Linked DNA regions of Pelodiscus sinensis. The protein of the gene in region 1 interacts with the protein of each later gene in a biochemical or structural test. Links are inferred from orthologs where the notes say so. Each region holds a gene or a part of one and is shown on either strand. Other genes may lie near its edges.

Evidence for each region.
Region 2: of the proteins of TOP2A (region 1) and PIAS4, one has a biochemical effect on the other in vitro, tested with the Homo sapiens proteins (2 studies listed by BioGRID). The link is inferred for Pelodiscus sinensis from reciprocal best matches to the Homo sapiens genes TOP2A and PIAS4.

What each region holds. Positions count from the first base shown.
Region 1 is NC_134739.1:10,727,059-10,742,996, reverse strand, and holds the start of TOP2A (DNA topoisomerase 2-alpha), read right to left. Parts: upstream 8,018-15,938; 5' UTR 7,929-8,017; coding exon 7,869-7,928; intron 4,039-7,868; exon of another isoform or gene 3,763-4,038; coding exon of another isoform or gene 3,730-3,762; intron 3,600-3,729; coding exon 3,450-3,599; intron 2,067-3,449; coding exon 1,976-2,066; intron 808-1,975; coding exon 744-807; intron 1-743. Other genes in the region: uncharacterized protein LOC102455445, read right to left, coding at 14,335-14,542, 15,358-15,473. UniProt on the Homo sapiens protein: Key decatenating enzyme that alters DNA topology by binding to two double-stranded DNA molecules, generating a double-stranded break in one of the strands, passing the intact strand through the broken strand, and religating the broken strand.
Region 2 is NC_134729.1:22,022,623-22,038,533, reverse strand, and holds the start of PIAS4 (E3 SUMO-protein ligase PIAS4), read right to left. Parts: upstream 8,228-15,911; 5' UTR 8,122-8,227; coding exon 8,095-8,121; intron 2,986-8,094; coding exon 2,556-2,985; intron 1-2,555.

The DNA.
Region 1 (15,938 bases):
CATTTAAATTCTGTTGCTTTACAGCTACTACTTTTACTTTACTAAAAAGTCTTAGTAAAATTGTCAACTGTCTTAAGGCCCAAAATTTGACCCACTTTAAACTTTTAGCCAGTGTGAAATATTCTTTGGATTCAAAGTACCTATTCTATTTTTTAAATTCCACCTGTCTACTGCTGAGGGGAAAAAAAGCCACCATTTTGGCAGAAGCAAAGTTTCTGTTCAGCAATTGCAGAAACAGTCAGCAGAGGGAGCACAAGTCAACTAAATCCCTATAGTCTTGTGCAGAAAGTTGATATGAAACATACCATGAGTAAAAGGTGCATGTGCCCATGGTTTTTTTGGGGGGAGGGGGGAGATAAACTGAAAAAGACAAAATGGAGAATAAAAGCTAAACGCAGTGATCTGACCTGAAATCACTTCATGGGAGAACCAGATCAGGGAAAACACAAGCTTTCACATTTGGTTAATATTTGATGAGCTGCAAAGTTACATTTTGTCTAAATTGGTTGAGCTACAACAGTGTTTCTCAATCTTTTTTATGCCAGGGACTGGCTTGTTGCTTTCCTAAACTGAGTCAGGGAGCTCTCAAGGATCGGGGTCCGTTAGACCGGTCATTGACAGCCACTCTAATAAAAGAGCACCAGAAAAAGAAAATCTTTGAGTCCCAGAACGCTGAGCTACTTTCTCTATACAGGTATCAGAGGAGAATAAAAACTGTTCAACAAAAATGTAATAAGACTTACGGATCAATTGTAATCTTAATGCAGGACATGTTTTTATCCCTCTGCTTGTTGTCTGCAGCATTGACTGAAATGGAGAAAGGACTGTAAATTTACCAAATTACATTTGCAGATGAGACACTTAAATCTGAGCTGCTTACAACAAAAGTAAGTGCAAAGTATTCACAAGAACAAATACACAAATTCAGAAAGAGAGGCCATGGAGAATCAGCTTGGACTTGACAGATTTGCCATGTTGAAGAGGAAGTTTTCAGCTGAGTCTTAACTAACAGAATCCAAAGTAGCATTATTTCAAAGGATTATCATTCAAGTCCTCAGAATTCAGAAACATTATTTTAAATTACAATCATACATTACTCATTTTTATCCAACAGTGAAAAGGGCAGGGATAATTATATTTATCAAACTATTACTTGAGCAACTACAGAGCTGATCAAATGATGCAAAAGTTACGAACATTTTCATTACAGATTCTTATTTAACATTAGGGAGGTTAGATATTGTGTAACTGAATAACCATGTAACCCCACCAAAACTTATTGGTTACATGATTATTCAATGGTCCCCAGTGGCAGGGCTGGTAGCCAGTGCACTCCTGTGGAGCCCTCTTGCTATCTCACACTGTGTCCACTGTATCAGAGGTAGCAGCGTGGGGTGGCAGGCGGGAGCTGGTCTGCAAGTGGAGCCGGGTTTAAAACCTGCTCCCTATGCAGTCTGGCTCCCACCTGCTGCCCCTGTCCACAGGGAGCTTGGGCTCCCCACGGACAGAGTGCTTGGCATCCCTGATACAGAGGCAGTAGTGTGGGGCAGAAGGAGGGCAGCTCCATAGCACCAGTACTCAAGAGGAGCTGGCTTTTAAGAGGCAGCAGCATGGGGGAGCAGGCAGCTTCATGTGAGCCGGAGCTGGCTTGAAAGCTGGCTTCCCAGGTGTACTGGGTCCAGCTTGCCCCCCATATCCTCCATGCTGCTGCCTCTCAGAGGCAGCGGGGGAGAGGAAGAGGGGGCTCTGTGGGATCCTGTGCTCGTGGGCACCAACTCTGATGTTCCCCTCCCTTGCTGACTCTGATACAGAAGCAGCAATGGGGGGGGGGAGGGCTTGTAGTCATTAGGATTAACCAATAAGCCCAGGTTTATCATATAATCGCTAACATCCCGATTTAACACATATAACATCCACAATTTGTTATCAGTGGAATAAATTGCTAGCAACCGAACTGTCATCTCTGCAGACTTACCTAGAATTTCATCAAAGATTTTATATAACCCAGGCACAAAAGTTACGTCTCTGCAGCTGAGGCCCTCATCTTCATCATAAACCCACATTTGCTGAAAAAAAAGAAACACTCTCTTTAGGTTTACCATGATTTCCTGATCTTCTGTTTATATACCCAAACCACATTGCGCTCCAAACTGTCTTTAAAACATTAGCGATTTTCCACTTATGTCCAGGAATTAAGTGCCACTGATCAGGCTTTCTTTAGTACTGTAATTTCTTTCTAAATTACAGCAAGGTGACTATGCAAGTAAGGGTATGTCTACACTACAGCCCTACTTCGAACTAGGGGGGGTAATGTAGTCATACGGAGTTGCAAATGAAGCCCGGGATTTGAATTTCCCGGGCTTCATTTGCATAAAGCCGGCCGGCGCCATTTTTAAATGCCGGCTAGTTCGGATTAGACTTCCTAATCCGAACTATCTGTACGCCTAATCCGAACTAGCCGGCATTTAAAAATGGCGCCGGCCGGCTTTATGCAAATGAAGCCTGAGAAATTCAAATCCCGGGCTTCATTTGGAACTCCGTATGACTACATTACACCCCGTAGTTCGAACTAGGGGGGTAGTGTAGACATACCCTAAGCTACATACGTTGCTCAGATGATATCAGTACAGGTTGAACCTCTACTCCAGCACCCTCAGGACCTAACTGATGCGAAACCAGAGAATGTAAACCATTGTCTAGCAGCATTACTAATGCTTCTACGGCTTGCGAGGCTCTTAGAAGACATTTAGAGATATATTAGAACTAAATAACAGCACAGACCCCTGAGAGCCAGGACTGGTGACTATGGACAAACTTTATGGGACTTTGGGAAACTTGGCCGTACCCATAAGCAGACATCTGGCTCACTAAAATCATGCCCGACCACGGATGTTGCTGGACCAGAGTACCAGATCAGAGAGGTTCAACTCACACTAAAACACAAGGGAAAACATCCCATTCAAATTTAGCAAGATGGTTTTAAGGAAGCACGATCTGCAGATTTCTAGTCATGCTCACTAAACCATGTCCATGCCTTATGGCAGGGTTTCTCAAACTGTGGGTCCCGACCCCGGGGGGGGGCGGGGGGTCGTGAGCAACTGAAAGGCTGGTTGCATCAATGGGGGGGGGGGGGTCCGCGAGCAACCGAGAGGGGGGGGGGGGGTCGCGGTATCACAAGTTTGAGAACCCCTGCCTTATGGGTTATAGAGTGCGATGGGCAGAGAGCAGGGGATGCACCGCAGATGTCGGTGTGGGAAGTGTCTGGCTGCCCCAGTTGTGTGCTGCGACCCCATGCGCTGGGCAGGGTGTGTGTGTGTGTGGGGGGGGGGGGGGGGTTGGGTTCTCCTTGCCTGGAGCACCCAGTAAATCCCAAGATGGACACTGACAAAGCCCTGGGGAGGCAAGCAGGAGAACGGCAGAACCACCTGCGGCACCAAGCCCGTTTTTACCTGCGTGACAAACTCCACGGAGCCGATGTAGGTGTCGGGCCGGAGCAGAATATGCTCCAGCTGGGTTTTCTTCTGGTAGATCCTCTCCACCGACAGCCGCTTCTTCGCCGCCTCCTTGGCTTTGCCGACCTTGGGGTTCTCGTGCACGGGCTGGGGAGAGACAAACGCCGCGTGACCCCGCGGGCCCCGATCCCGGGAAACGGGCCCCCGGTACCGGGCCCGCTCCCCGGGGGGCTAGAACCGGGCCGGGCCAGGCCGCATTGGGGCTCCCGAGACCCACCCTGAGCGGCGAGAGGGAATCCACCAGCTCCATGGCGCTGGGCCCGGGTGTCCGGCTCGGTCCCGAGTGTGGGGGGCGGAGGATCCGGTTCGGTCCCGGTATCGGGGGGCGGAGGATCCGGTTCGGTCCCGGTATCGGGGGGGGGATCGCGGTCTGGTCCCGGTATCGGGGGGGGGATCGCGGTCTGGTCCCGATCGGGGAGTGGCCGGTATTGGGGGGGGCAGAGGAACCCGGTTCGGTCCGGTATCGTGGGGGAGGGTCTCTGCTTGGTGGATCCCAACCGCCCGGACGAAAGGTCCGTTTCCGTTAACGCCTGAGCGCGGGGGGAGCCCTTCAAACCTCCGTCCAGCCCGCCCAGAGCCCTCGGCCAATCGCAGCACGCCGAGCGCGGCGCCTTCCCACCAATCGCCGCGCGGCCTGCGGGCAAGCAAGGCCTGGGGGCGGAGCGGACCGCCCCCGCCAATCGCAGGACGCCGGCCCGCTCAAACCAGCCATTCACACGCCGGGAAAGAGAGGCGCGGGAGGTTTTCAAACTCCGCCAATCAGCTGGGACAGCCCGTGAGAGGCAGGCGGTTGAACCAATAACAATGAAGCCGGAGGTAGCTAGGTCTGCAGGAGAGACACGAGGGCAAAGGTCATCAGGTTCAACCTTTGACCTCCACCAAGTGGCTCCCCATGTGTGTTGGGGGTAACTCAGCCCACGTGGCCATGTGGCAGTGGGAGGGAGCCACATGGAGCCACTGGGCTGTGTCTACACTGGCCACTTATTCCGGAACATCAGCCGCTTTTCCGGAATAACTTGCCAGCTGTCTACACTGGCCCCTTGAATTTCCGGAAAAGCACTGACGATCTCATGTAAAATCATCAGTGCTTTTCCGGAAAAACTATGCTGCTCCCGTTCGGGCAAAAGTCCTTTTCCGGAAAACTGTTCCGGAAAAGGGCCAGTGTAGACAGCAGAGATTTCTTTTCTGCAAAAAAGCCCCGATCGCGAAAATGATGATTGGGGCTTTTTTGCGGAAAAGTGCGTCTAGATTGGCACGGACGCTTTTCCGCAAAAAATGCTTTTCCGGAAAAGCATCCTGCCAATCTAGATGCTCTTTTTCCGAAAATGCTTTTAATGGAAAACTTTTCCGTTATAAGCATTTCCGGAAAATCATGCCAGTGTAGATGTAGCCCTTGGCACCGGCCAAGGGGAGTTTTCCCCAAGTACAGACTGAAGTATTAGGATGTTTTCTCAGGTTTCTGTCAAAAGAACATAAGGACATACATTTTCAGACCAAAGGTCCACCTAGCCCAGTATCCAGTATCAGCTGACAGTGGCCAGCGCCAGATGCCCCAGAGGGAGGGAACACAACAGGTAATCCTCATAAAGCGGCGAGGAGTCCTGTGGCACCTTACAGACTAATTGAAGTGTAGGAGCATAAGCTTTCGTGGGCAAAGACCCACTTCGTCAGTGTCTTATGCTCCTACACTTCAGTTAGTCTATAAGGTGCCACAGGACTCCTCGCCGCTTTTGCAGATTCAGACTAACACGGCTCCCCCTCTGATAGGTAATCCTCATGTGATCCTTCCCCTGTCACTCATTTCCAGACAGACAGAGCCTAGGGACACCATTCCTACCATCCTGGCTAATAGCCATTGATGGACCTAACCTCCATGAATTTATCTAGTTCTTTCTTAAACCCTGTTAAAGTTCTGGTCTTCATAACCTTCTCTGGCAAGGAGTTCCACAAGCTGACTGTGCACTCTGTGAAGAAAATCTTCCTTTTGTTAGTTTTAAACCTGCTACCTATTAATTTCATTTGGTGACCCATAGTTCTTATGGGAACAAGTAAATTTTTCCTTATTCACTTTTTCCACACCAGTCATGATTTTATAGACCACTATCATATACTCCCCTTAGTCTCCTCCTTTCTAAGCTGAAAAGTCCCAGTCTTTTTAATCTCTCTTCATATGCAGGGCTCGACAATTCGTGTAATCTACTCGCTCATGGCGAGTTGATTACAAGTCGGCACAGCCGCAGAGTGTGCTCAGTGGATGCGCAGCACGATCTGCGCATGCGCAGTGTGCCAAACCGCGTGGCTGGCGAGCAGGGCTCGCGTCACTTGGTGAATCCTGTTCATGTGGAACCCATTCCAAACCCCTAATCATTTCTGTTGCCCGTTTCTGAACCTTTTCCAATGCCAATATTTCTTTTTTGGGATGAGTCGATCACATTTGTATGCAGTATTCAAGACGGGGGCGTACCATGGTTTTCAGGGCCAGCCTTAGGCCAATTCAGCCGATTCCCCAGTGTGGGGCCCTGTGCCTGAGGGGGTCCCGTGCCCAGGGAAACGACGGATGCGCAGTGCACCAGGAGCACACCGCTTGCGTGGGGCCCCTGGACGCACGGCACATGCGTTGTGACATCCCGGGCGCATGGCACATGCGCCATGTGCCCGGGGGGGGGCCATGCATGCATTGTACTCCCGGGGCACTGCGCATGCATCGTGACATCTGGGACGCACAGCGCATGCGTCGTGCCTCTGGTGTGCGACGCATGCGCCATGCCGCCCGGGGCCCCGCGCATGTGCGGCCCCGTCCCAGGAATCGGGCCCCACGCTCCATAGAGCTGGCTCTGATGGTTTTATATAGAGGCAGTAAGATATTCTCTGTCTAATTCTCTATCCCTTTTTTAAGGATTCCTAATGTTCTGCTTGCTTTTTTGACTGCTGCTGCACACAGAGGCTGTGTCTAGACTGCATCCCTTTTCCGTTAAAGGGATGCAAATTAGACACATCACAATTGCAAATGAAGCGGGGATTTAAATCCCCCCTGCTTCATTTGCATAAACATGGCTGCCGCTTTTTTTCCGGCTCGGAGCTTTGCCAGAAAAAAGCGCCATTCTAGACGGGGATCTTGCGGAAAATAAAGCCTTTTCCAAAAGATCACTTATTCCTCTTAAAATAAGGAATAAGGGATCTTTCGGAAAAGGCTTTATTTTCCGAAAGATACCCGTCTAGACTGGCGCTTTTTTCTGGCAAAGCTCCGAGCCGGAAAAAAAAGTGGCAACCATGTTTATACAAATGAAGCGGGGGGGATTTCAATCCCCACTTCATTTGCAATTGCGATGTGTCTAATTTGCATCTCTTTTACGGAAAAGGGATGCAGTCTAGACACAGCCAGAGTGGATTATTTTGGAGAATTATCCACAGTGATTCCAAGATCTCTCTCTTGAGTAGTTGTAGACAAATTAGTCCCCGTTATATTGTATGTCTAGTTGGGATTATTTTTTCTAATGTGCATTACTTTACATTTATCAACATTAAATTTCATTTGCCATATTGTTACCCCTGGGAATTCATTTCTGCACCAGCACTAGGGCCATTCGGGAGGTGAGATTGCATATTCCTTGTTCATGTGATATTGGAGCGTCAATTTAGTCCCTAGCATAGTCTAGGACTGTGTTTCTCAACCTTTTTTTATAAAGTACCCTTTAAAAAAATTATAAGTACCCCCAGTACCTATAGTTTTCAGAGACAATTTTTTTCTACCATTGCAACACATTTGTTTAAACAACTTAATGGTAGCCGGGGGGGCGATGACATTTTTGGGTGTAAAAAGTACAAAAATAAGAAAACTTAAAACAAAAATTCAGTTTTCTCCAAATTTCAGTTGTGTGGACGTACCCCCCAGACTTCTCTTTAGTACCCCTAAGGGTACTGGTACCACTGGTTGAGAAACACTGGACTAGGACAATTTAGTCCCTCTTGGATCATGGCAGCCAAGAATCAGTAGAATGCAGGGCTGCTCCAACTCCTTCTGCTACACCTGCCCTGCCTTTTCCCTCCTCCAGTGCACCCCCAGCCTGCCCTCTGCACTGGGAAGGAGTGCAAGTGGAGGGGGTCTTCTGCAGATGTTCTTGCTCCAGTGGTAGGCACAGAGACCTCATATACACCTATTCTCTCACTCCTTTGTGGCAACGTGGCCAGCACAAAGGGACTGTGGGGCAGTGACCCATCTGACCTGGTGTTTCTATAGCAGCTTCTACCCTGAGGATCAGCAATCGCTAACCAGGCTTTGCACTGGCAGGGAAGCCCTTAGCCTTGGCCACTGACACCGAATCTCAGACATCCATGGCATTGCACATCTGCCCTTGCCTGGGAACTTCTCCCGGAAGCTGCTGGAGTTTTCCTCATGCCATCGCCCTGCCCGCTCATCTTGCTGTCTCCATCCACTGCCCTTTGGGATGTTGGCAGTCAAGGGAAATGACTTTCCTCCCGCACGGCTGATGGTTTGGGATGTAAACAAGGAGGCGGTCTTTCTGTGCAGCCCGGAGCCCCACGAGGTCATAGACACAACTGCAGTGACCTCATGAGAGTGGATTGCGCCATCTTCCCCAGGGATACGGGCAGTGCCCTGTACCCTGGAAGGGAAACCCTGGCAGCTGTTCAGGATCCAGTTACTGGCTAAAACCAGCTGTTCTCAAGTGCTGAGTGCCCATTAGGAGACGCTCAAGGCTTGACTCACAGAGGTGCTAAGCACCCACAGTGTCAGCAGGGATGAGGAAGCTGCGGGGTCCTCAGCTCTTTCCAGATGAGGGCTTGGATGGCTGGAGCCAGACATCCAAAAACAGCCACTCCCCAAAACTGGACAACACTCTTGAAGGTGAATGCTTCACCCCCTTCAAAATCTCTCTCAGAACTGCCAGCAGAAACTGATTGATCGTTCTTAAGTCAGTGACAATAAATGAGGAGTAACGTTAGTTCAAACCAAGGGGTTTGGTTAGAACGAACGCGTCCCGGTGTGCATGTCCTGGTCCGAATCAGCTGTGATTCGAACTAGTGCATGGTGAGATCTTGCTAACGAAGTGCGGGATATTTAAATCCCCGCTTCACTGATTATTTCGAATGCCTGCATTTTCATCCCTTGTTCGAACTAGGGTGCAAGTGTAGACATACCTTTAGGGTATGTCTACACTAGCTCGTTAATTCGAGCTAGGTAGGGTAATGAGGGCGACCGGAGTTGCAAATGAAGCCTGGGATTTAAATATCCCAGGCTTCATTTGCATGTTCCCGGGCGCCACCATTTTTAAATGCCCCGTAGTTCGAACTCCCTGCCTGCGGCTACACACGGCACAGGCTAGGTAGTTCGAATTAAAGCTCCTGATTTGAACTACTGTTACTCCTCATTCCACGAGGAGTAACAATAGTTTGAATTAGGAGCTTTAATTCGAACTACCTAGCCCATGCCGCGTGTAGCTGCGGGCAGGGAGTTCAAACTACAGGGCATTTAAAAATGGCAGCACCTGGGAACATGCAAATGAAGCCCGGGATATTTAAATCCCGGGCTTCATTTGCAACTCCGGTCGCCCTCATTATCCTACCTAACTCGAATTAACTAGCTAGTGTAGACATACCCTTAGAGACTAACCAAAATATATAGAATCATGAGCTTTCGTGGGCAAAACCCACTTCAGCAGATGAATTAGAGTGGAAATAACAAAAACCAAGATATATATATAATAGTAGAAGTAGTACTTGTCAATTGTAGGACCCATGTTAATGAGGCTAATTAAGTGGGCTGGATGTGTCCCATACATAGATTTTGATGTGGAAATGCAGATATTAATGGCAGGAGAAATTGGCTTTGTAATGCTTCAACCAGTTAATGGCTTTGTTACCCTGGGCCTAAGCCAATTTCCCCTGCCATTAGCATCTGCATTTCCACATCAAAAGCTATGTATGACCAGTGTTAATTAGCCTCATTAACTTGGGCCTTACAATTGACAGAGACGTCTGCTGTTACATTGATCTCTTGATTTCTGTTATTTTCACTCCAATTCATCTGAGGAAGTGGGTTTTACCCACGAAAAGCTCATGTGCTTCTATCTATTTTGGTTAGTCTCTAGGGGTATGTCTACACTACAGCGCTAGTTCGAACTAACTTAGTTCGAATTAGTTAATTCGAACTAAGCTAGTTCGAACTAACGCATCTAGAACTAAAAACTAGTTCGAACTAGCGTTTTGCTAGTTCGAACTAGCAAGTCCACATTGAGTGGACTCTGAACAGGGCTTAAGGATGGCCGGAAGCAGTGCCGGCAGGGCATAAAAGGAGGACTTAGAGCATGGAGATGCTGTCTCAGGCTAGCCGAGGGCTGCGCTTAAAGGGTCCCGACCCCCACCCCGGACACACAGTTCTAAGGGGTGCCCCGCTTGCAAAGAAGTTCTGGCTTGGAGTGCCCTGAGTGCCCACACTGGGCACATCACACCACTCGGCCATCAGCCCAGCTGCACTTGCCGCAGGCTGCCATCTGCGGAGAGGGAGTAATTGGGGGGCTGCAGGAGAGCTTCCACCGTGAGGAGCCCACAGAGCCAGCCCAGTCCTCCCCATCGGGGGCTCGTACCCCATTCCTCCCTCACCTCCTTCCACTTACCCTTCCTTAGCCCCCCTTCTTATTGATGTACAAAATAAAGATAACGTTTCTTCCAACATTGACTCTGTCTTTATTGAAAAAAAACTGGGGGAGACTGGGAAAAGGAGGTGGGAGAGGGGAAGAGAAAGGCTGGGAGAGGGGAGGGCAACTAACATGATCAGGGGTTGGGAACAGGTCCCAGATGAAGAAAGGCTACAGAGACTGGGACTGTTCAGCTTAGAAAAGAGGAGATGGAGGGGGGACAGGATAGAGGTCTCTAAAAGCAGGAGTTGGGTGGAGAGGGTGCATTCAGAAAAGTTCTTCCTGAGTTCCCATAAAGAAGGACTAGAGGACACCAAAGGAAAGGAATGGGTAGCAGGCTTGAAACTAGTAAGAGAAAGTTGTTGTTCTTCAGAAAGCAAATAGTTAACTTGTGGAACTCCTTGCTGCAGGAGGCTGTGAAGGCTACAACTAGAACAGAGTTGAAAGGGAAGTGAGATCAAGTCATGGAGGTTGGGTCCATGGAGTCCTATTAGCCAGAGGGTAGGAGTGGTGTCCCTGCCCAAAGTTTGTGGAAGGCTGGAGAGGGATGGCACGAGACAAATGGCTTGGTCATTGTCTTTGGTCCATCCCCTCCAGGGTCCCTAGGGTTGGCCGCTGTTGGCAGACAGGCTACTGGGCTAGATGGACCTTTGGTCTGACCCAGTACGGCCATTGTAAGCTCAGGGCTCAGGGTCGGGGGTCTCAGTGGACCCCCTTGATTTTCATGCACACCTGGTCCTGGGTGGCCAGGCTGGCAGCTCTCCTGCCCTAGACGGCCACTTTCCTGTGCCTAGTGCGGAGATCGTGGACGAGGTCCACGATGTCCGCACTAGCCCAGGAAGGTGCCCGCCTCTTGCGGTCCAGGGCAAGCTCCCGGGAGCCGCCAGCCTGGTCCCGGCAAGAGGGGGTGGGCTGGGGGGCATCGGGTGGGTGGCTCTGTGCCGTGCCAGGTGCAGGGTCTGCTAGCTGGGTGCTGGCAGGCTTGCACCTGGCACGGGCACCGTAGCCAGCCCGTGCCCCTTTAAGGGGTCCGGGGCCGGGAGGGGGGCATAGAGTTTCCCTGGTGTTGGCCAGAGTGGCCACCAGGGAAACCTGGGGAGGGCTAGCCTCCCACTAGTTCGAACTAAAGGGCTACACAGCCCTTAGTTCGAACTAGCTAGTTCGAACTAGGCGTTAGTCCTCGTAAAATGAGGTTTACCTAGTTCGAACTAAGCGCTCCGCTAGTTCGATTCAAATTCGAACTAGCGGAGCGCTAGTGTAGCACCTATTAAAGTTAGTTCGAACTAACGTCCGTTAGTTCGAACTAACTTTGTAGTGTAGACATACCCTAAGGTACCATGGGACTTCTTGTTGTTTCTGAAAACAAGAGGCTGCCATGCATAAACTGGGATCACGGGGGCTTTGCAATTTGATTCCCCTTGTGAGGAGGTCTCGCTGCTTTCTGGCCAGTACTATTTTTTTCTTTTAAAAATAAAGGCTGCGCTCAGAAACAACCATCCAAGCCCACACCAGCCTGAGATGCCCAGTGCTCCCACACACCCCTGCAGTGCCAAGCGACTATGCGCGCACACAGAGGAGAAAAGATCAGACAAATTAATTGCAGATGCACGTTTGATTGCTTAGAGGGTGTTATATAAACGTCAGTGAGAAGACGAGGTTGTGGCAAAGCATTATGTCACTCCCTCTCCCAGTGCTGTGTCCCTTTGCCCTTCCTGAGTCTGTGACTTCCACAGTCATTTTGGCTTCTGTCGACAGCCTGTCTGCTGGGCTTCACGCCTTCCTGGAGTGTCTGCTGGCTGGGATCAGCAGAGGACTGTACTGGCCACTGCTGTGCCTGGAGGGCTGCTAAGGCAATGCCACCGCAAGGGCAGGCTGTTTTCTGATCGCAAGGAGCTCTGCGGTGCTGACCCTTTGCTTCATGCAGCCTTGGAGGTTTGCTGCTGTGTACACTCTACCCACTGTCCCCTACCACAGCACCTCATCCTGCACATGCAGAGACTCCTTCAAGACCCGGAAGGGTCACACTTCATGCTCCTGCATCCCTTGGCCGACCAGGCAGCCACTGTAGGGTAGAATCCTAGAACTGGAAGGGACCTCATGAGGTCATCAAGTCCAGTCCCCTGCCCTCACGGCAGCCCCAAGCACCATCTGGACCATTTTCTATTGAGCCCCTGGTCTTCCCAACTCAAGCCCTGTTTCGGCTGGGGTTAGAACACGAAAGCCCAGCTGGAGACCCACCCAGAGACCCACCGCCCAGCCGAGGGAAAGGAAGAGGGAAAGCTGCGGATGGTCAGGCTCTAGCAACACAGAAAGCGTGGCTTGAAAAACCAACCTGAGCCTGCCACCGTGAGGAAATCACTGCAAAGCAAGAGCCGGGGCAGGCTCCCGAAGCTCCTGTTCGCGCGACCTCCTGGCTGATTGTTGGCGCCACCCGAGTGCTGTCCTCCCGGGCCAGGCTGGCAAGAGCTCAGCATCTCCGGAGCCCCCAGGCTGCAGCTGGCCAGGTGCCGAGCAGGCCTGGACATGCAGGTACCGGTGGTGCAGTGGGAGTCAGCTGCGGGCCCAGCGCTTCTGAAAACCCCTCCCTGCGTGCCCTGCGGCGGAGACGGGTTCTCCCAGCGTACACGGACAGGCCTGCACGGGGCACTGAGCTAAAAACAGCAACAAGGTGGTTCTGGCACGGGTGGCCGCGGGGGCGCTCCCCTCTGCCCGACCCCCTCGCCAGGCCGCGCTGGACGCCCACAGTGCTGTTTTTCACCTGCAAGCTCTAGCAAGTTTTTTCTCCCCAGGCTGGCTCCCAGCGGCAGCATAGACCCCAGGCTCTGGGGGTGGGTGCGGAGCACACAGAGATCTGCCCCCACATGCGAGCCCTTTGGGGCAGCCAGCAGCCCTTTGCTCCTCCGTTCGCTGCCTGGGAGCGCCCGGTGCCATTCGCATCCAAACACTCCGCGCTCAGAGCTCAGCCCAAATCCCACACTTGAAACAGGTTTATTTTCAGCTGAAGCACCAGGCTGCTTTCCAAGCTCGCAGGATGCTCACCGGCGGCTCGTCTCCAGAGCGAGCTGAGCCCAGCCTGCTAGCAACGCCCGTTGCCATGATGCTGGCCGGCAGAAAGGCCTAGTGCAGGCCGAGGCGTTAAAATATAATCACCCCTGCACGACCCCCATCACGCCGGCCCCTCCGCCCCAGCTCTCTGCTGAGCGTTTCAGGAGCAGCGGCTGGGGACAGCCAGAGCTAGGGGCAGTCCCTGAGTTGGGTGGGGATGCCCATTCGGAAGACAGGCCCACCCGCTGGCAGGGGAGCAGCTGGGAGCTGACAGAGGCCGAAGGGGGGGTGTGTGAACACAGAGGTAGCGCTCCGGGATAATGGATCAGGCATCTCCCCCCTCTACTTGGTGATAGGAGAAGAGCTTTTAGCTTCCTCAGGAGAGTCCCTGCACAGATCCTTAGGGAAGGGTGGAGAACCTAAGGACCAGGGGCTAGATGCAGCCCCCGGCTTGCCTGCATCCAGCCCCCCAAGACTGGGGATTCCCCCCCAGCATTGGGGAGCCCACGCTGGTTCTCCAGCCCCAACGCCATCCCCCTGCAGGCTGGGGCACGCAGGATTTTACTAGCCTGGGCCCTCCAATGTCTTTCTCCTTGTGTGCAACCCCCAGCCGATGTTTCTGTGGGTCAGTGGTCCCCGGCCCAAAAAAGGTTCCTCGCCCCTGGCTTCAGGGAAGCTCAGCCAGAGAGCACTGGCCCCATAGCCCAGCTCTGCCCCGCACCTCAGTGCTCGCTGCAGCCCCTGCCTGGGACCCCAACGGGGCCTTGCTCTGGGGGAATGGCCCCCCTCTCGCAGGGAGGCCCTGTGGTTGGCACTAGCTAACTAGGTCCAGTGCCTGGGGAGACGGCGCAGCGGCATGGCTCTGAGTTAAGGAGGGGAGGTTACCGACCCACCGCCAGTCTCTAATCTGCACATATGGACCTCCCACCTGGTGACGGACAGATCCCTCTATGGGTACAAGGCAGAGTCCAACTGGGCTGGATAACGGTGAAATAGCCCCAAAGCCAAAAGCAGCCCCAGGGCTGGCAGGAGACCATCTGCTCACTGTCATTCATCCTGGCAGGATCCAGCTATGGCGGCTCACCAGCCCACGGCAGCCCCTGGCTGCCCCCCAGCAGCTCCCATCACCACATGTGCAGGTAAGGGAAGCTGATCTCCATGCACAGGACGACCAAGGGGGTGGAGCAATTACGGTGTTGCCCAGCCAGGAGCTTCCCCTCGGTCAGGGGCGAGGCAAAACCCTCGGCGAGGCTGTTCCGCCACCCTTGGCAGTTCTCCTTTGGCGCCGGGTGCCCACGCTGGCTGGAGCCGTGCCAGATCGCCTTGCGAGCCCTGAAGAGACAGCGCCAGGTTGGGACCAGGGAGTAGGGTTGCCAGATGCTTTAACCAAAAATACCCAACGTGCCCCTCCCCCCAAAAAAACACCAGGGAAAAAATTCTGTTGAGAAAAAAAAGGGGGAGATCTCCCCAAAAGGACCCTGAGAGTTATTAAGCAAAAAAAAAAAAAAAAAAAAAAACCCAGCATGGCCCCTTTAAGAAATGCCTTTGAGGCTTTTTTGGCTTTAACAGGTGGCCAGTGGCCATCTTGTTTTCCTTCTCGGAGCCAGAAGACAGCTCCCCTGTGGAACCAGGTAAGCGGGAGGGAGTGGCGGGGGGCTGGGCCCAGTTGCTGAGTGTGTGTAGGGTTGCCAGGTGCTTAGTATTGCAGGGAAAAAAAATCAGGAAATGCCGGACATTTTAGGAGTTCGGTATTTTTTGAATTTTTTTTACCGGACAGGAGGCAAAAATACTGGACTGTCCGGGTCAATACCAGACACCTGGCAATCCTACCAGGGAAAGGCAGAAGAAGGCCAAATGGGGCCTGATTTTCAGAGGTGCTGGGGGCCCACCCTTTGGGGGAAGCCAAGGGGAACTTGGCACAGCCAGCCCCAGGTGCAAGCTGGGCCCCTCTGTGGAAGTGCCACTTTCCAGGGGCTGGTTTAAAATCCTTTGCTCCTGGGCTTTCTCCAGGGCCTAGCCTGAACCGGGAGGTCACTAGGCAATGAGGGGCCCTCTACCATCCCCTACCCACAGCGACTGCCCCATTGTACTCAGGGCAGGCGGAGAATCCGCATGCGGGCAGCGCTGCTCTCCCCTTTCCGGCTCACCAGATGGGATCCGTCAGCACGTCGCGGCCGTTGAAGGTGTAGATGGGAAAGCCCCGCGCGTTGAAGCGGGTGGTGCCTTCGAACACGGAGTTCCAGGTCTTCGCCAGCAGCTGGCCCTGCCATTGGAATCAGTCCGAGTGAGCACGAGGGACCCCAGAGATTCCCCCACCCGTCAGTCAGCAGCAACCTGGGCTCCCAGGCCAGGGCCTGACCAGCTCTGGCCAGCGTTTCCAGTTCGGAACCAGGCCAGGTGGATTCATGGGGACTCCCAAGCACTGGTCTATACTACATGGGCTGGTCTGATAGGCCTGGGGTCCATCCAGCCTGAGGGGCCAGGCTCAGTGAGATGGATCTGGCTGTGGAGAATTCTCCCTCAAGGAGCTGGTGGACACCCCATCCATCACCAGGAGCACCAGAACTGGCCAGTGCCTGGGAGAACAGGCCATGGGGGATGGGCCAGATGGCACAGAAGAACTGCCAGATGGTTTAACAAAAAATAGCAAACACCCTGCCTCCCCCAATAAAAAACACTGGGAAAAAATTCTGTTGAACAATAAAAAAAAAAAAAAAAAAGGGCGCTG
Region 2 (15,911 bases), on another chromosome or scaffold:
GATTAAGCACAAATTACATCAAGAGAAAATTTGTTAAATGTGTCCAGGGAACAAGAGGACTTCCAGGAGGAGTGAGCTTTTATAGGGAGTAGGATGCCAGTTTAGCCTAACTAAAGATCTGATCTGACATAACACTTCTACGTATTGTCAAACTTAGTACCCTCAGATAAACAGTAAGGATGTTAAGCAGCGTGTGGTTTGTTAGTCGTGTAGTGACAAAAATTGTGTCAGCTAAATGATTAATCGATAAGGGTTAGCACAGCAAGCACTCAGTCCTGGCTTATGCAGTGTCTGGCAACTATTTCCACTGCGGCTCTGCACTAAGAGCAGAGGAACCAGCAGGAAGGCAGCCCAGCTCATGAAGGGTCCTGGGAACTGCTCCTAAATTACTTTACCTGAAGTGCTGCAGCGGGGGTAGCTCCCAGTTCTAGCACGAGCAGGGTCTGAACTGGATTGCTGCCCACAGCACCTAAATTACTTTTTATGCAGAGCCGCAGTGGGGGTAGCTCCAGGACCAGCACAAGCTGGGACCGAGCTGTGCTGTTTGCCAGCCCTCAAAAAATGTATTTTTGGCAGGGCTGTGGGGGCAGAGGGTACATGTAGTCAGTAGCATTAACTGATAAACTTTCACTTACTGGTTGTTTAGCCACCTTCATTATATCCCTAATAATCAGGCTACATATATTTTTCTTGGAGCTATGAATAGGAGATGGAGCTGTCCCTGAAAAACAAAAAAACCCTCACTTCTCAACTTCAGAATACTCAATTACATATTCAATTGTCTTTCCAATGGACTAGCACACAAAAAATTCAAGACTGAAGTAACCAATTTCTAAAATTCTGTTTAAATTATCAGCCTTAACAACTGTACTCCCTTCCAATGCAGACAAATCATGTACATCTGAAGCATGGATAGTATAGTTAATACAGTTTATACTGTTAAGTAGTCCAGAAGCTAAGAAATATGGAAAATAAGAGTAAACAGGGAAACTCCACAAGGAGTAATAAACATATGGAATAAGTTAACAAGGAAGGCAACTGAAACAGAGGATATAAATAATCTCAAGGGATACTCAGCCTAGTTTGTGAAGGCAGAAGGGAGTGAAGGGGTATGATGAAAAAAGCAGGAAGATGGGATTAAGAAATTATGAATGTGCAGGAACATAGAAACAAGAAACCGCCATCTGGTACTAATATTTATGTTCTTTTGAATTAACAAGGACAGTTTAAGTATTATCTGATTTGTGTTCTGGCAGGTTTCTCAGAGCCACGTAACAGTTAAAAAAGTGCCTTTTATGTCCACATTAGAGAAACAAATCCACACTTCTGCCTAGCAAGGCTATTCAGCAGAGGCTGCTTCCCACATGCCTTCAAACTTCCAGACTATGTTCAGACTGCAGCAGTTCCTCTAGTTGCCATCTGGGTAAGATGTCACTAGCTTCATTTATCAGCACTGCTTTCATTTCTGTGCACATTAAGCTCAAGCCTTTCCAACAATGGGAGATCAAGTTTTGTATTTATTTTGCTTAGAAAGTCCATTATGTAACAAGGCCTGAGGCTACCAAGTTTACTCTGTGGGCCACTGAAGAAGGGTGTCATTTAATGGGTCACAAAGCAAAGAAAGCCACAACCATGGCAAAAAGACCATTTTGCCTACACCACACACAAAATACACATTATATTCTATTATGGTCATACTGTCACTATCTAGAATCACAAACACTAATCCAGACCGATTATCATGACTCCGAGGTGGAAGAAATTGCTTTTTTCGTGTTCCAGAGTTTCTCTAGTGACTCCTCAAAATACAAAGCATGGTGCATAACTATGGTAGGTTTATATAATTAAGACAAGGCATTGGTGTGTGATTTAAAATAGGAAGATCCCTTTATTTGTGGGAAACTGAGGCTTTGATTACACTTACAATTTTAGAAGTGTAGCCAAGGCACCTCTTCCAGCACTCTATGTAAACCACCTCCACAAGAGCAGTTAGCTAACAGCACTGGGAGCCCGGTTCACACCGGTGCTCTACAGTGCTGTAACTTGCTTTGCTCATGGAAGTGGGAGGGGAGGGGATGTACAGTGCAGTGAAGTGCCATTGTAGACTTAGTTCTACACTTTATCATGGCAGACTTAGGCTAACTGATATCGGTATAGAAAAGGCACTGTTCCAGCTTAGCGTAGTTATAACACTGATGGAGAAAACAGCTGCCCCCCTACATTGACTAGTGCAGGGACACATCAGTCAGTACATAAGGATGCAATATGTTAAGGCAGCACTTTCACTGAAGGATACAAAGACTACATCAAAACAAGATAGGCTTTCAAGTCACTTATCAAAGGAATTGCAGCTCCTGCTTCAAGAAAGGTAAAAAAAGCAACAAATATTATTCCAAACCAAGGGAGACCAACTAGAAGAGAACCTACTGATTTTCTCTGTTATGTGTCCTTACTGTTCAACAAAAATGCTGCCATAAAACTTGCATATTTTTTCAGTCCTTTTCCAAACTGAGTCCTGGCTATTAGTCTTGTATCTGCATATACGAAAGACTCACCTAGCTCTGTTGGCTTCAGCAGTTCATCCAAGGTGGTATAGAAGGGAAGTTTCACCAGCCGAACTTCAGGCTTTACAACTTTGGGTGGTAACCTTCCCAGTCCATTAAGGTATTTCCCATAGAGTGCTGGATAGTCAATGTTAGGAGTGGAGAGAGAAGTCCTAGCAACAGTGCTCCCTCGGTCATAGGAAGAATGTATAGAGAGCGCCTCTGGAGGTCGGTGCTGCTGTGGCTGCCCTGATTCAGAGCTCTTCTTGGCATAGCGAGTCTCATAGAGCTCTTTAATTTTCTTGAAAACTTCAGGGCTACAATCAAACTGGACCAGCTGCAATGCTCTAGTGACCAGCTCATGTTTAAGTCCACTCTTACTCCGGCCAACAAAACCCAGTAACATCTGAAGGTCTGAGACTCTGAAACTCATCACCATGTTCTAGGAAATAAAGGTAAAACATTAAAGTAAAAGATTTTTAAAGTTATAAAGAGATCAAGTGACAATTCTCTCCAGAGTCTATACCCTAGAACTCAAAATATTAAAATTTACTTGCAAGGACTGACACCAAGCCTTCTGTTTCAATGGCATGCTGTTCAAGTGATTAATGTGTCATGCATTTGACACTTGTTTGTGCAATGGCAATATATAAGAGAGAAACTGAACATTGGTCAGTATACACAGACCTGAAAGCTGTGACAAGCTAGTCACTAAATTACCAAATAATTTGTGATAAGTACAAAGCAATCTCTTGGTAACAATTGGAAACAACTGCAGTCCCAGGGACACAACTTGCATCTGGTTAGTGGAAGAGCAAGTGTATCGGGGTTATTAACTACTTCTGCCCACATCTCGCTTCCTTCAATCTGCTCTCTTGTGAACAGGACCAATGCTTACTTCTGTTAGGGTTCTGAGGGAGCCCAAAGAAACTACCAATTTTCAGTCTGACCCTAAGGTTTTGAACAACACTGAAATTGACCACTTGTCAACTTCACACTTCTGCCTGGGGTGAGAGCCAGAGAGCAGTGAAGCACAGCAATGATCTACACTTGGAAGACAGTCTTCATAAAGATAAGACCAAGAAAATATTAATTAAAATTAATGCTCTTGTTCTGCAGAGATTGATTATTGACGCCTTCCTCATTGCCAAAAAAATTTCACACAGACCCAGAGTGAACAAAGTGCTTTTCGAGCCCTGAAAATATGTTTGAACATTTGCATTTATCCTTGCATCTTGTTCACAGTTTTCAAAAATATAGGAAAAATCTTCTAGAACATAAATTCTACATGCCCAGCTGTAGGTGATGAAATCAGACACTAGGGATATAAAATCCCATTAATTGGTTAACTGATTAATGCAGAAGGGAGGGAAGGGGGCTGAGGCCAGTCGGGAGCAGTCCCTTCCCCCTTCTTCAGCCTGACCCAGCCCTGTGGGGGTCCACTGGGGACAGAAGCAGCCCCCTGCTGGCAAGGAGCTGCTTCAGCCCTCCCTGGTTAACAGTTAACTGGAACTAGTAAGCATGACTGTTAATGGTGTCCCTATCAGGCCCTAAGTCTTTTCAATATTTATTTCCTGATTATATGGAAAATAAATATTGAAATCAGATTATTAATTTACAAAAAGAGGTTGAAGATAACATTCTTACTGTCAATGAAAAAAATTGACAAGCCAACTTTTAAAGGAAAAACAGCAACTGAATTAAATCCAGAAATATTTATTAACAATATTGGGGGGGCATGAAATTCAACACAGGCCATGTCTACACTATGGCACCGTAGCAGCAATAGCGCTTCTCCTACACCAGCATAACCCTGAAATGTAGACAGCATTCAGTGACAGAAGGTATTTTTGGTCACTGCAGCAACACTCCCCTCCCTACTGATGGAAGCATCCTTCCCTTGACACAGCTGTGTCTACACTAGGCATGAGAAGGGCACAAGCATGGTGCGGGGGAGGGGGGTGTTACCAGAATGCCATAGCTCTGTCAACGTAAATTTTAATAATTAACCTCTTGCATTTTATTCTTCCCCTTTCCGGTAAAATCCCCTTGGACTTCCTGTTTCACTGAAGCAGTCCTAGAAGGCATCACAATACACCTGGGTTCAGTGAGACACTTAGTAGTGTGATTGTATGTTCTGGAATCTCTTCAGTGAAAAAAAGAAAAAAGGGGAAGGGAGAGAGTTTTGGCAAGCCAATGAATGATGTTTGGTGGTTAGGAAAGTAATCTAGGAGTCAGCAGACCCAGATTCAGTTCTTTACTACACCTCATGCTCCTGGTGTGACCCCAGGCAAGTTAATCTCTCTGTGCATCACTACCCATTTGAAAGATGAGGGTAACAGAACTTTTCCATACCCCATTGGGGCATTCTGAGGACTACAGCAAAGAGGACTAAAGCACCAGACAAGAGAGTTATCCCTGTGCTCACTGCCTAATTTCCTGTCTTCTTGATGTATTAAGCATATAATTCTTGCTGCTTTTTTGCAATTTATGTTTACCCAGATTTTGGGTCTAGAGACGTTATCAGATTTGAATAAAAAGCAAAGCAGGCTATTTTAGCACAAAGAAATACAGGTTGAACCGCTCTAGTCTGGCACACTCTGGCCCTGCAACATCCGTGGTCCCACATAATTTTAGTTATCTAGATGTCCACGTATGGGTGTGGCCAAGTTTCCCGTCATCCCATAAAGTTTCTTTAAAGCCACTAGTCCTGTCTCAGTGTTCTGTGCTGTTATTTAGCTCTAATTTACCCCATAAGACTTCTAAGAGCCCAGTAAGCAGTGAAAGTGTTGGAAATGCTGCTACACAATACTGACCACCCCCACCATGGTCTTGCAAATTATCTGGTTTGGCACTGGCCAAGTCCCAAGGGTTTAACCTGTATGGCTGTGTCTAGACTGGCATGATTTTCCGGAAATGCTTTTAACAGAAAAGTTTTCCGTTAAAAGTATTTTCGGAACACAGCATCTAGATTGGCATGGACGCTTTTCTGCAAAAGCACTTTTTGCAGAAAAGCGTCCGTGCCAATCTAGACGCGCTTTTCCACAAAAAAGCCCCAATCGACATTTTCGCGATCGGGGCTCTTTTGCACAAAACAAATCTGAGCTGTCTACACTGGCCCTTTTGCGCAAAAGTTTTGCGCAAAAGGACTTTTGCCCGAACGGGAGCAGCATAGTATTTCTGCAAGAACACTGACAATCTTACATGAGATCATCAGTGCTTTTGCAGAAATTCAAGCATCCAGTGTAGACAGCTGGCAAGTTTTTCCAGAAAAGCGGCTGATTTTCCGGAAAAACTGGCCTGTCTAGACATAGCCTATGTGTTTAGAATTGGGATTACCAGTTAACCAGTGTTGACAAAGCCATGCTTTCCAGGGTGCCTACCATGGGGGAGGGATGCACCAGTCCAGCCAGACCCTAAGCGAGGAGCTGGTTATCATATGTTTAACTGCTTAACATTTTAAACAGGATTTTACATCTCTAGTCTAGAACCTCAGGCTTCTAACTCAGAGTGGTAGGAATATGCAGTTCTCGTTAGCTCATGAGATTATTGTAAAGTGAATATAGATGTAAGCCTTGTGCAGCCAAAAGACAGCAAATTGTGTGTTGAAGCATGGAAGATAATGAATTCTCGCTACAGCCAGACAACAGATATCTTTAAGATACTTCCTTTCGGAGGAATGGTGGGCTTCTGCCCACAATAATAAAGAAGGCTTAACACAAGAAGGGGAATCAGCCACCATTATGTCTAGATGTACAGTTTTCTACATTTTATGTCTGCCCTATATAAGCCAGTTCTATGATTCACAGCATTCACTGGGTCTGCCCTGTTATTCCATTACTTAATGCCTAATCCTGCCAGAAGCTGAGCACCTTCAGCCATGACTGAAGTCACTTGAAGTCTTTAGACAGGCAAGAATGGGACTTTATCCTGGAAGTCTTGTTATTGTACTGTGAGGTTACAGTTCTGCTTCACAGACAGTACACCTGTGATTCCACTCACTGGCAGGCAGGAACTGAAGAGCCCTACTCATGCAGAGAGCAGTATCACATAGCAGAACTGGACTCAATCTTGGAATCTGTGCAAGTCTTCCTCTCTCCAACGGTGCTCGTCATGCACAAAATATTTTGTAAGTATAATGCAGTTTAATATTTTTTTTAAATTGTCATGTCACTAAGCAACCTCCAAATACATCAGATATCACAGAATCCTCTAATGTATGCAGATTTATAGACTATCAACATTTTCTCTAGAACTCTTAAAGCTTCAGATCTCATTCATTAGGTACCTCCATATTCACTTCTCTGGAAGCTTCTCAATACCTTCAATTCAGATAATAAAACAATCCATTTATGCTTTCATAGGGGTGGGGGGTAAACTTTGCAAACAATATGACCCACAGGAGACATTTGGACAGTTCACTCACCCCTCACTCCAAAACCATTTCCTAAAATGTCAGTGGAGGAAACCTGGATGTCATCACTTCACACTCACACCCCCAATTGCACTTACAAACTCTTCACTCTGAAGCCCAGAGAGCTGAGATTGGAACAGGAAAGGGGGCGTCATGAGGGAGTCACAGAGGAAAGGAAAAATGAGAGAGTAGATGGGAGAACTGCAGGAGGGACCTGAGGCAATGACTACTTGGGAAGAGGCAATAGTAGCAGGAGATGAAGGGGGGGGAGGAGAAGAGTGTCGGGAGGAAAGCCAAGGTGTGTGGGGAGCAGTATGCCTGTTTTAATCATTTTATCACAGCCTGCTAAAATGGGGGAGATCTTAGGGTTCAGTGTTGGGATGAGAAGATGCCAAGACAGCGGTGGGTGGGGAATCTGAAGCATCAGCTGCACAGAATGAAAACAGGGGAAGCTCTAAGTGGTGGGCAATTTCAGGGGTCAGTGGGGGAGCCGGAAAGGCCCCAAGGGAAGCACAGGAATCAGCCTGGGGATGCAAAGAGGCTGAGTGAAGGCCCGTGGAGTTGGCACAGACAGGAAAATGCTGAGGCTGCTGGTGGAGGTCTCGGAGAGGGGGGATGACAGGCTGGCACTGACACTGGGAGGTGGGTACAGGGAGGGGTGGGGTCTCCGGGGTCAGCTACAGAAGGGCAGGGAGCCCCCGGGGATGGTTATGGCGGGGCGGGGAGGCAGGACGGAGCCGACGCGAGGGGATGGGGGTCCCGTAGGGACACGGGGGGGGGAATGGGACGACGCTGGCGGCGGGGGGGGGGGGGTCTCTGGTAACGGGACGGCGCCGCCGGGGGAGCGGGCGAGGGCTCCGGCCGACAGGGGCGGGGCTGGGGAGGCTCGGCCCGGGCCCGGGGAGGCTCGGCCCGGGCCCGCAGGGAGCTGGCGGGCGAGGCCCGGGCGGGGGGGGCGGCGAGCAGGCCGGCCCGGGTGCCCGCGGGGGAGGTGGGAGCCAGCGGCGCCTGCCGCAGGGAAGGTCCCAGGGGCCCGCCCGGCCCCGGGTGCTGGGAGCCGCGCTCCCCGGCCGTGCCACGGCCGCCCCCGGGGCCCCGCCCCGCGCGCCCCCCGCTGAGGGGAGGCCGCTCACTCACTTTCGCCTCCACCAGTTCCGCCGCCATCTTGGCTTCCAGCGTCCACCGGCGCGCCGGGAGCCGCCGCCGAGTCACGTGACACGCACCCTTTCCTTCCTCGCCCTCCCTCCTCCCCCCCCCCCCGAGGGGGCGGGCTTAGGGAAGAGCGGGGAACCAATCCCATCGCGCTCCAGCCCCCCGCCCCTCGCCGGCCGCCCGCCCGCGCACGCGCGCTGCCGCCCACTCCCGCCCCGCCCATGACCCCGTTCTAGCCGCCTCCGGGCTCTTAAAGTGACAGAGCCGGGGGGCTGGGGAGGGGGGACAGCGCCAGGCCCGGGGCAGAACGGGGCGCTGCAAACCCCGCTCCTCCCGGGGAGCTGGGCCCCGGCCAGCAACAGGGCCCTCGTCTGCGGGCGGGGCAGCCAGAGAACGGGCTTTAATTAATTAATTAATTAATTAATAATTAATTAGCCCACTGGCGGGCTAACAAAGGCCATTAATGGGAAGGCGAGGCAGAGAGCAATTAGCCCCCTGCATTGCTTATGAAGGGGCTCACCGCAGCCAACCCGCCACGGGCTTCGTGGGGTGGGAGACAAGGCCATGCTGGCTCCTGCACCCCCGTGCCGTTGAATTCATGGGGTGCCTAGTTCTGCATTGCCTGCAGGGGAGCGTATGGGGGGGGCTGTTGCTCTGGCAAGTTAGCCCCTGGATTCCGGGGATAATCCTGCCCTCCCCCCAGCAAGGCATGTACACGCTAGTTGGGGTACAAGTTGCAGAGCTGGGGTGCTGTGTGCCATTGAATCAAACTGTAAATAAACTCAGTTTGGTGGAAATTGCTCCGAGCCAGGGGATGCCGCTGTGCCCTCAGTTTCAGAATCTTTCCCATGATCTAGTTGTGTCTGCACTGGACGTGAGGTCGACGTAGCTACAGCGTGCAGGAGTGTGGATTTGTCACACTCCGCACTTCTATAGCTGCATCCACCTATGTGGTGTGCAGATCAGGCCAAAGCCTACCGCAAACCTGGATTATATATGGCCAGAATAAGAATCTCCTTTGAATGTGTTGGGGTCAAATGCATATGAAATGTTCTTTCGGAAAACAAACCGCCATCCCCCCTATACACACATACATATCCACCACAGCAAATTAAAATAGAAAAGCCTCTGTGAAACCAGAAACAAACCTTTTATAAAACAAATACATCTTTCGGATTTCTCTTACCCATCACAGAGCAGCATAAAAGGACATGAGCTGGAATTGGTTTCCTTTGTTCACCCTTTCAGAATCTCTGCTGGGCATATACAGTGAGCACTTTTCAAACTTGTATATTTGTTCCAGCTGTTTTTCATTCAAACTTTGTTGGGCCAGCCATAGGAGTTCAAAATATCACAAGAATGGCTTAAAAGTCATGGGATTTTAAAAAATAATATATTTGGAGTTCTTTTAATTTCCCTTTTGGCTTTTAACCTTTCTACTCAAGCTTTTTTTCCACAGCCACAGGGGATTAGTAACTTTTTTTTTAAAGAGCTGGTCTAAAATACAAAGCTGGGTTGGTCCAACTATATTGTTCAGGGCTGCGAAAAATTTACTCTCCTGTGCCATGTAATTAAAGCTGACCTAAGACCTGGAGTAGTAGATACAGAGGTTGGCAGAAGAATTCTTCTATCAGACAAGCTACCACTTTGTGGAGAGGTGGATTCGCTTGGCAATAACTGTGCAGCACAGCTGCAGCATGGAAGCTCCACTACTGGAGTGTTTCTACTGTAGACGTACCCTTAGATATTAATGGAATCGCTTGCTTCCAGAAGTCGGGGCTTTTAAGAAAGTCACCGCCTATCATGAGACCTTGTAATAAAATTGCAAGTGTTGGCAACCACACAAAGAAGACAAAAAGACACTGTTGATCCCTGGCCAAGATTTACGTGCCCAAACTTAGACTGCTAGGTTCATATTTAGGCATCTCTCGGAATGACCTTGTTTACAAAAGTGCTGAACACGGAGCAGCTCCCACTGATGTCTTTTGGAAGTCAGGCCCTTATTCTGCAAAGTCTTAATGAGAATGGTTAACATTATGCACTATGACAAGTCCTGCACATAAACAAGTTAACCATGCACATAAGCATGCCCATAAATCTTTAAAGGATTGGGGATTTATAGGCCTAAATGTAAAGGTCTGGAAAACATGGCCGTTGAGGGAAGGTTGAAATAATCGGGTTTGTTTAATCTGGAAAAGAAAAGACTGAGAACGGACATACTAAGAGTTTTCAAGTTTCTAAAAGGTTGTTACAAGGAGGAGGGTGAAAAATTACTCTCCTTAATCTCTGAGGACAGGACAAGAAGCAATGGGCTTAAATTGCAGCAAGGGAGGTTCAGGTTAGACATCAGGACAATCTTTCTGTCCGGGTGGTTAAACACTGGAATAAATTGCCCAGGGAAGTTGTGAAATCTCCATCATTGGAGATATTTAAGAGCAGGTTAGACAATTACCTGTCCATGGTGCTTGATCCTGCCATGAGTGCAGGGGACTGGACTGGACAACCTCAAAAGGTCCCTTCCACTTCTACGATTCTATGTCTCCCTTTTTAAAAATCTTAGACCTTAGGGACAATGGGAGACATTTTCACAGCCACAAATGGCACAAAGGCCATGAAAGATGGGGGCCAAACTCCTAAGGCAGAATGTTCCATGACGCCCATGCCTGTTTGCAGACATCACAGATGCACGTAGGAGCCTAGATGTCATTGAAAGGCAAGAATAACCCTCTTATCCAGTCTCTCCTCTGAAGTGCTTTGCAAAAGAGGTCAATATCAGTGGCCCCATTTCACAGGTAGAGAAACCGATGTATGGAGAAGGGATGCGATTTGACAAAAAGCACCCAATAAGCTAGCAGTAGAATTAAATATAGAACCCAGGTCTCCTAAGTCTGACTTTAACCCACCAGCAATGAGGCAACGCTGTTTAGGCTTTTTAAGGCTATGTTACATGCAGAGAGGTGTCAAGTGGGTCTTTTATGTACCTAGGTGCCTAACTCCTGCTTGTGCAGAGCCCCAAGATGTCAATAAATAAATAATCCCCAGCTTGTATGTGGCACTTTTCATCAGTAGATTTCAGGTGTCTCTCGGATTCTTCCCCATCACACCCCCGTGTTTTACAAAGGAGGGTAGTATCCTTAGTCCCATTTTACAGATGAGGACACACAGAGAACATGCAGCAGGCTGTACAGGAGTCCAAGGCTCTATCCAGGTGGGCCAACTTTCAGGATCGGGGCCTAAATTCTTGATTCTGCATTACAGCTACATCTGGATTTTGGTTATTACCTCTTCTGTTTTCCCTTGATCACAACTTTCCAAAAAAGTTGTCATCTCTGGAGTTGAAACTTTCTTCGCTTAAAGTCAGACTAGAGTGGATTTTTGTTAAAAGAAAAATGGGGAAAAAAATCTTTTCAGATGGTTGGAGTTCTGAGACAATATGTTTTCATCTTAAAATATGAAAAGCAAAACTATTATGAAATTGAGCCAGTTTATGTGGGGAGTCAGGTTAAAAGTATACTGGCTCCCGCCCAGCTGTTTTCCTCCCACTTCCACTTCCTCTGTGTCAGTATTGCGGAGGGACAGGTGGGAGCAGCCATGTGCAGGGAGCCAGCTTTCAAGTCATCTCCCCACACATACTGGCTCCTGCAGAGACACCTCTGCCTCCCCTTTGCTGCTTCTAGCAGCAGCGTGGGGCAGGCTCCCTGGGAGCCACACCTTCCCCCCTTCCTGCTCTCTGCAAGCAAATGTGTGCCTGCTGACATTTTCAGCAGGTACACCTTTACCAAACTAAACACATTTTAATATCCCTAATGTGAGCAGGAGCTGCAGAAAGCCTTTGTCCTTTGTCGACAGGGTTGAAAGACATGGGCAAAGGGAAGCCCCTTTTCAAACTTTCGGTGTAGGGTAACCTACCCCCTAAGCTGTCTGAGCATTGCCCCGGCTCTGTAAAGCCGGAGGCATGTGGGATGAAAGCGGACTCGCTCAAAACACACCCACACCTCAACTATTGCCTTATACATGGGTGGTTGGTGCAGCTGGGACCGGGGGAGGCAGGCCTCCTACCCCCTCTGCTGAGACCCCGCCCTCCCAGGGAGGAGGTGGGGCAGCACGCCGAGCACTCCCCACAGCACTAGGGAAAGGAAGAGAGGGAAGGGATGCAGGTGGTTCCAGCCTCCCCGGCCAGGAGCACAGGGAGGACAGGCACTGGGGGCAGCAACTCTCCACCCCTAGAATGCCTACCCAGGCACGCTGGGGGCGGAGTGTGGGCATGACCAGGCTGGCCGTTTGGGAAGGCAAAGTCTTCCCTTGCCTAAGCCACCGGGCGCCCATGGCCTTATAGTATGGAAACTCAATTCATTAGCTCGTCACCATTCGCTTTCCCTGTTGACATCCCACCGATTTTTCAGGACAGCTCAGCTCCCATTCACACATCAGATAGAGCCTTTTGGGGATGGGAAACTGATGACAAAATGCTAAATATCCCACCTCTCTAATCCTGTTCATTTTCCAACTCTTACGCATCAGCATCTGAACGCAGGGCAAGACTACTCATAAAATGCTCCATCGATGCAGCTGTAGTGCGTAAGTGACGAAATCCTACAGCCTCCGGTGAGTGTCTCCTGCCGGCGTAATTCATCCACCTCCCTGAGAGGCAGTTGCTATCTTGGAGGGAGAATCATCCCATGGACACCGCTCTGTCTGCACAGTGCAGGGCGTAAACTGGCATAACTATGCTGCTCGAGTGTGGGTTTTACCGATAGGGGTCTGTAGTGCACACCTGGCCTCAGTAAACAACCGTGGGGAATGCCAAAGTGAGCTCTTCCCCAGGAAAGTTGGTAGCACTGGCTCCTGAAGTGGGAACCCCGGAACACAGTGGGGTCACCAGGGAGAGTGGACAAAATCCCCACCAACAGTACAGGCTGCGGCGCCACTTCATAGCGGCCTCTGCAACTTGGGACTGCACTAGCAAGACAGCTGTTGTGCTACCTACAGGTAGGAGAGGCTGATTATCTGACTAGTCACTGACCCACCCAACTGCACTGCCCCACTGCTCACACCACGGCCTCGCTGCTGGTTTGTCTACACTTGAAATGCCTCAAGCAGCACCACGGGAGTGTTTCGGTGTAGACCCTGTTGGGACTAGGGAGGGGTTGTCCCATCAACATACGCAAGTCCCCACCCTGAGAGGTGGCAGCTCAGAATTCTTCTGTCACCTGTTAAGCTGACCTATCCCGCCAGAGACACAGTCTAACTATGCCACTCAGGCTACGTCTACACTGTAGCATTTTTGCGGAAGAGGAAAGGCAAATGAAGCGCTCATTAGCATTTCTCGCACTCTCATTTGCATAGTCTCTTCAGATCCATTTTGTGGAAGAGGTTTTTGCGGAAAAAAACCCCAGTGTAGATGGGGCAAAAAACACTTTTGCACAAGATCCTGATTATCTCCTTTTTGAGGGATAAGGGATCTTGAGCAAAGGGGTTTTTTTTGCGCAAAATGGCCCTGTCTACACTGCGTTTCTTTCCATAAAAAAGATCGGAAGAGATTATGCAAATAAAGCGCAAGAAATGTTAATGAGCACTTCATTTGCATTTTCTCTTCTGCAAAAATGCTACAGTGTAGACATAGCCTCAGGCTGTGTCTACACTGGCATGAATTTCCGGAAATGCTTAAAACGGAATACTATTCCGTTTTCAGTTTTTCCGGAAAAGGAGCATCTACACTGGCAGGCTGCTTTTCCGGAAAAGCCCTTTTCCCGGAAAAGCGTCTGTGGCCAATGTAGATGCTCTTTTCCGGAAAAGAGCCCCTATCGCCATTTTCGCCATCAGGGCTTTTTTCCGGAAAAGACTACTGGGCTGTCTACACTGGCCCTTTTCCGGAACAGTGTTCCGGAATAAGGACTTATGCCCGAGCGGGAGCAGAATAGTTTTTCTGGAATAGCGGCTGATTTTGTACAGTACAGCATCATTGCTTTTCCGGAAATTCAAGGGCCAGTGTAGACAGCTCGCAGCTTATTCTGGAAAAGCGGCTGATTTTCCGGAATAAGTGGCCCAGTGTAGACACAGCCTCAGGGTGTAGATTTTTCAAGCCCCTGAGCAACATAGCTGGGTCAACCTAACTTTTAGCACAGACCAGGCCTACATCTACTGGGAATTGCACCTCCCAGCTGCAGGGTAGACACAGAGAGGAGAATAAACTCCCAACCGTGCAAAGGGAGTGTACGTAACCAATGCTGCTGGGGAGGAGAGAGATTTTCAAGAGACTTTTGCACTTTGACGACAGCTACAAATATTCACAGAAGATAATTAGACAATTTCCCTGACAGGCCAGTGTGTTAATCAGGTCGATGGGGCTCAACTTACATTCTGGCAAAATCCAGGGTTTGTGCTAAAAATGCAAACCGTTACCGTAGCAACTGCAACAGCTGATAGCTCCTCATGTCACAGGGAGAAAGCACACCCCCAGACAGACTCAGCAGGCCAAAGCAATCCCTAGCGAAATGCCACCGACACCACTGGAGTTACACTAGGAGCAAATTTGGCCCTCTCTCACCCATATGTGCTGCCAACCGCTGTCTGTGATCATTCTTAAGCAAGCTGGGGGCGTAGGTGTGGGGAATTCAGCAGGAGACTACTGACTGGCATGGAAGTTATGAAACAAAGTGATTGTGTTGTGCGCTAACTTTTATTATGGTAGTTTATTGCTGTTTGAGAAACATGGGAGTAGGGATGTAAAGATCCCATTTCATCAATTAACCGATTCAATGTTACGGTTAACTGGTTAAAGACTTAAATGGGTTCCTGCAGGCAGGAGACTGCTCCAGCCCAGCAGGGCCCACTGTGCTATAGGCTGCTCCAGCCTGGGCCACAAGCAGAGGCTGCTTGGGCTGGGCTGGCTGCACTACGCTGTGGGTGGGGGGCTTTTCCAACCCAGCCAGGCCTGCCGCAAGCAGGGACTGCTCAGGTCACACCCTCTACTCTGCACTGTGGGGGCTGCACAGTCCGAGCCCACTGTGCCGCAGACAGGTAGGGAGCTGCTCCAGATGGACCAGGCTGGAGGGTGCCCTGCCCATGGTACAGGAGGCCCAGCTAGGCTGGAGCGGACCCCTGCCCACATTAGACCAGGGGGCTGCTCCAGCCCATCCAGGCTGCCGGTTAACCAGTAACCATCACCCAGTTAACCAGTGACATCCTACATAGGATTATAGTTCTTATCCCATAATGCTGTTTATCCTGATTGAAAATAAATTAAAAAAGAGGGAATATATTTAGCCTCTAAACAAGGAGAGAGCGAGAGTCAGGTCGCCTGGATGCTGTCCTGGCACTGACTTACTGTGTGACCTTGGGCAAGTTACTTATGCTCTTTGCCTCAGTTTCTCCATCTGTGAAAATGGGACAAGGAGACTTCCCTATTGCACAGGGGCTTGACAGAACAACAGGTCGGTTTTTCCTCTCATACCAGATTGTCATGGCTGTAACTCCACAGCCTGCAAGTAAGAGATTTGTACCAGTCTGAGAGAAGAATTTGGTCTGATGTTTTTGAAGCACTCTGAGATCCTGTGAAGGAAGCTACATATAAGGCAGAGAAGTATAAAAAGGAGCAGAGTAGATCGCTGATATTTAGGCCAGGTCTACACTAGGGGCGCTACAGAGGCATAGTTACAGAGCTGCATTTATGGTGCTGCCACATGGTAGTGTAGACGATGCTACCTACAGCAATGGAAGGGGGTTTCTGTCTGTGTGGGAATCTGCCTCCCATGTTATAGTAGCTAGGTTAATGGAAAAATTCTACCATCAGCCTAACCACG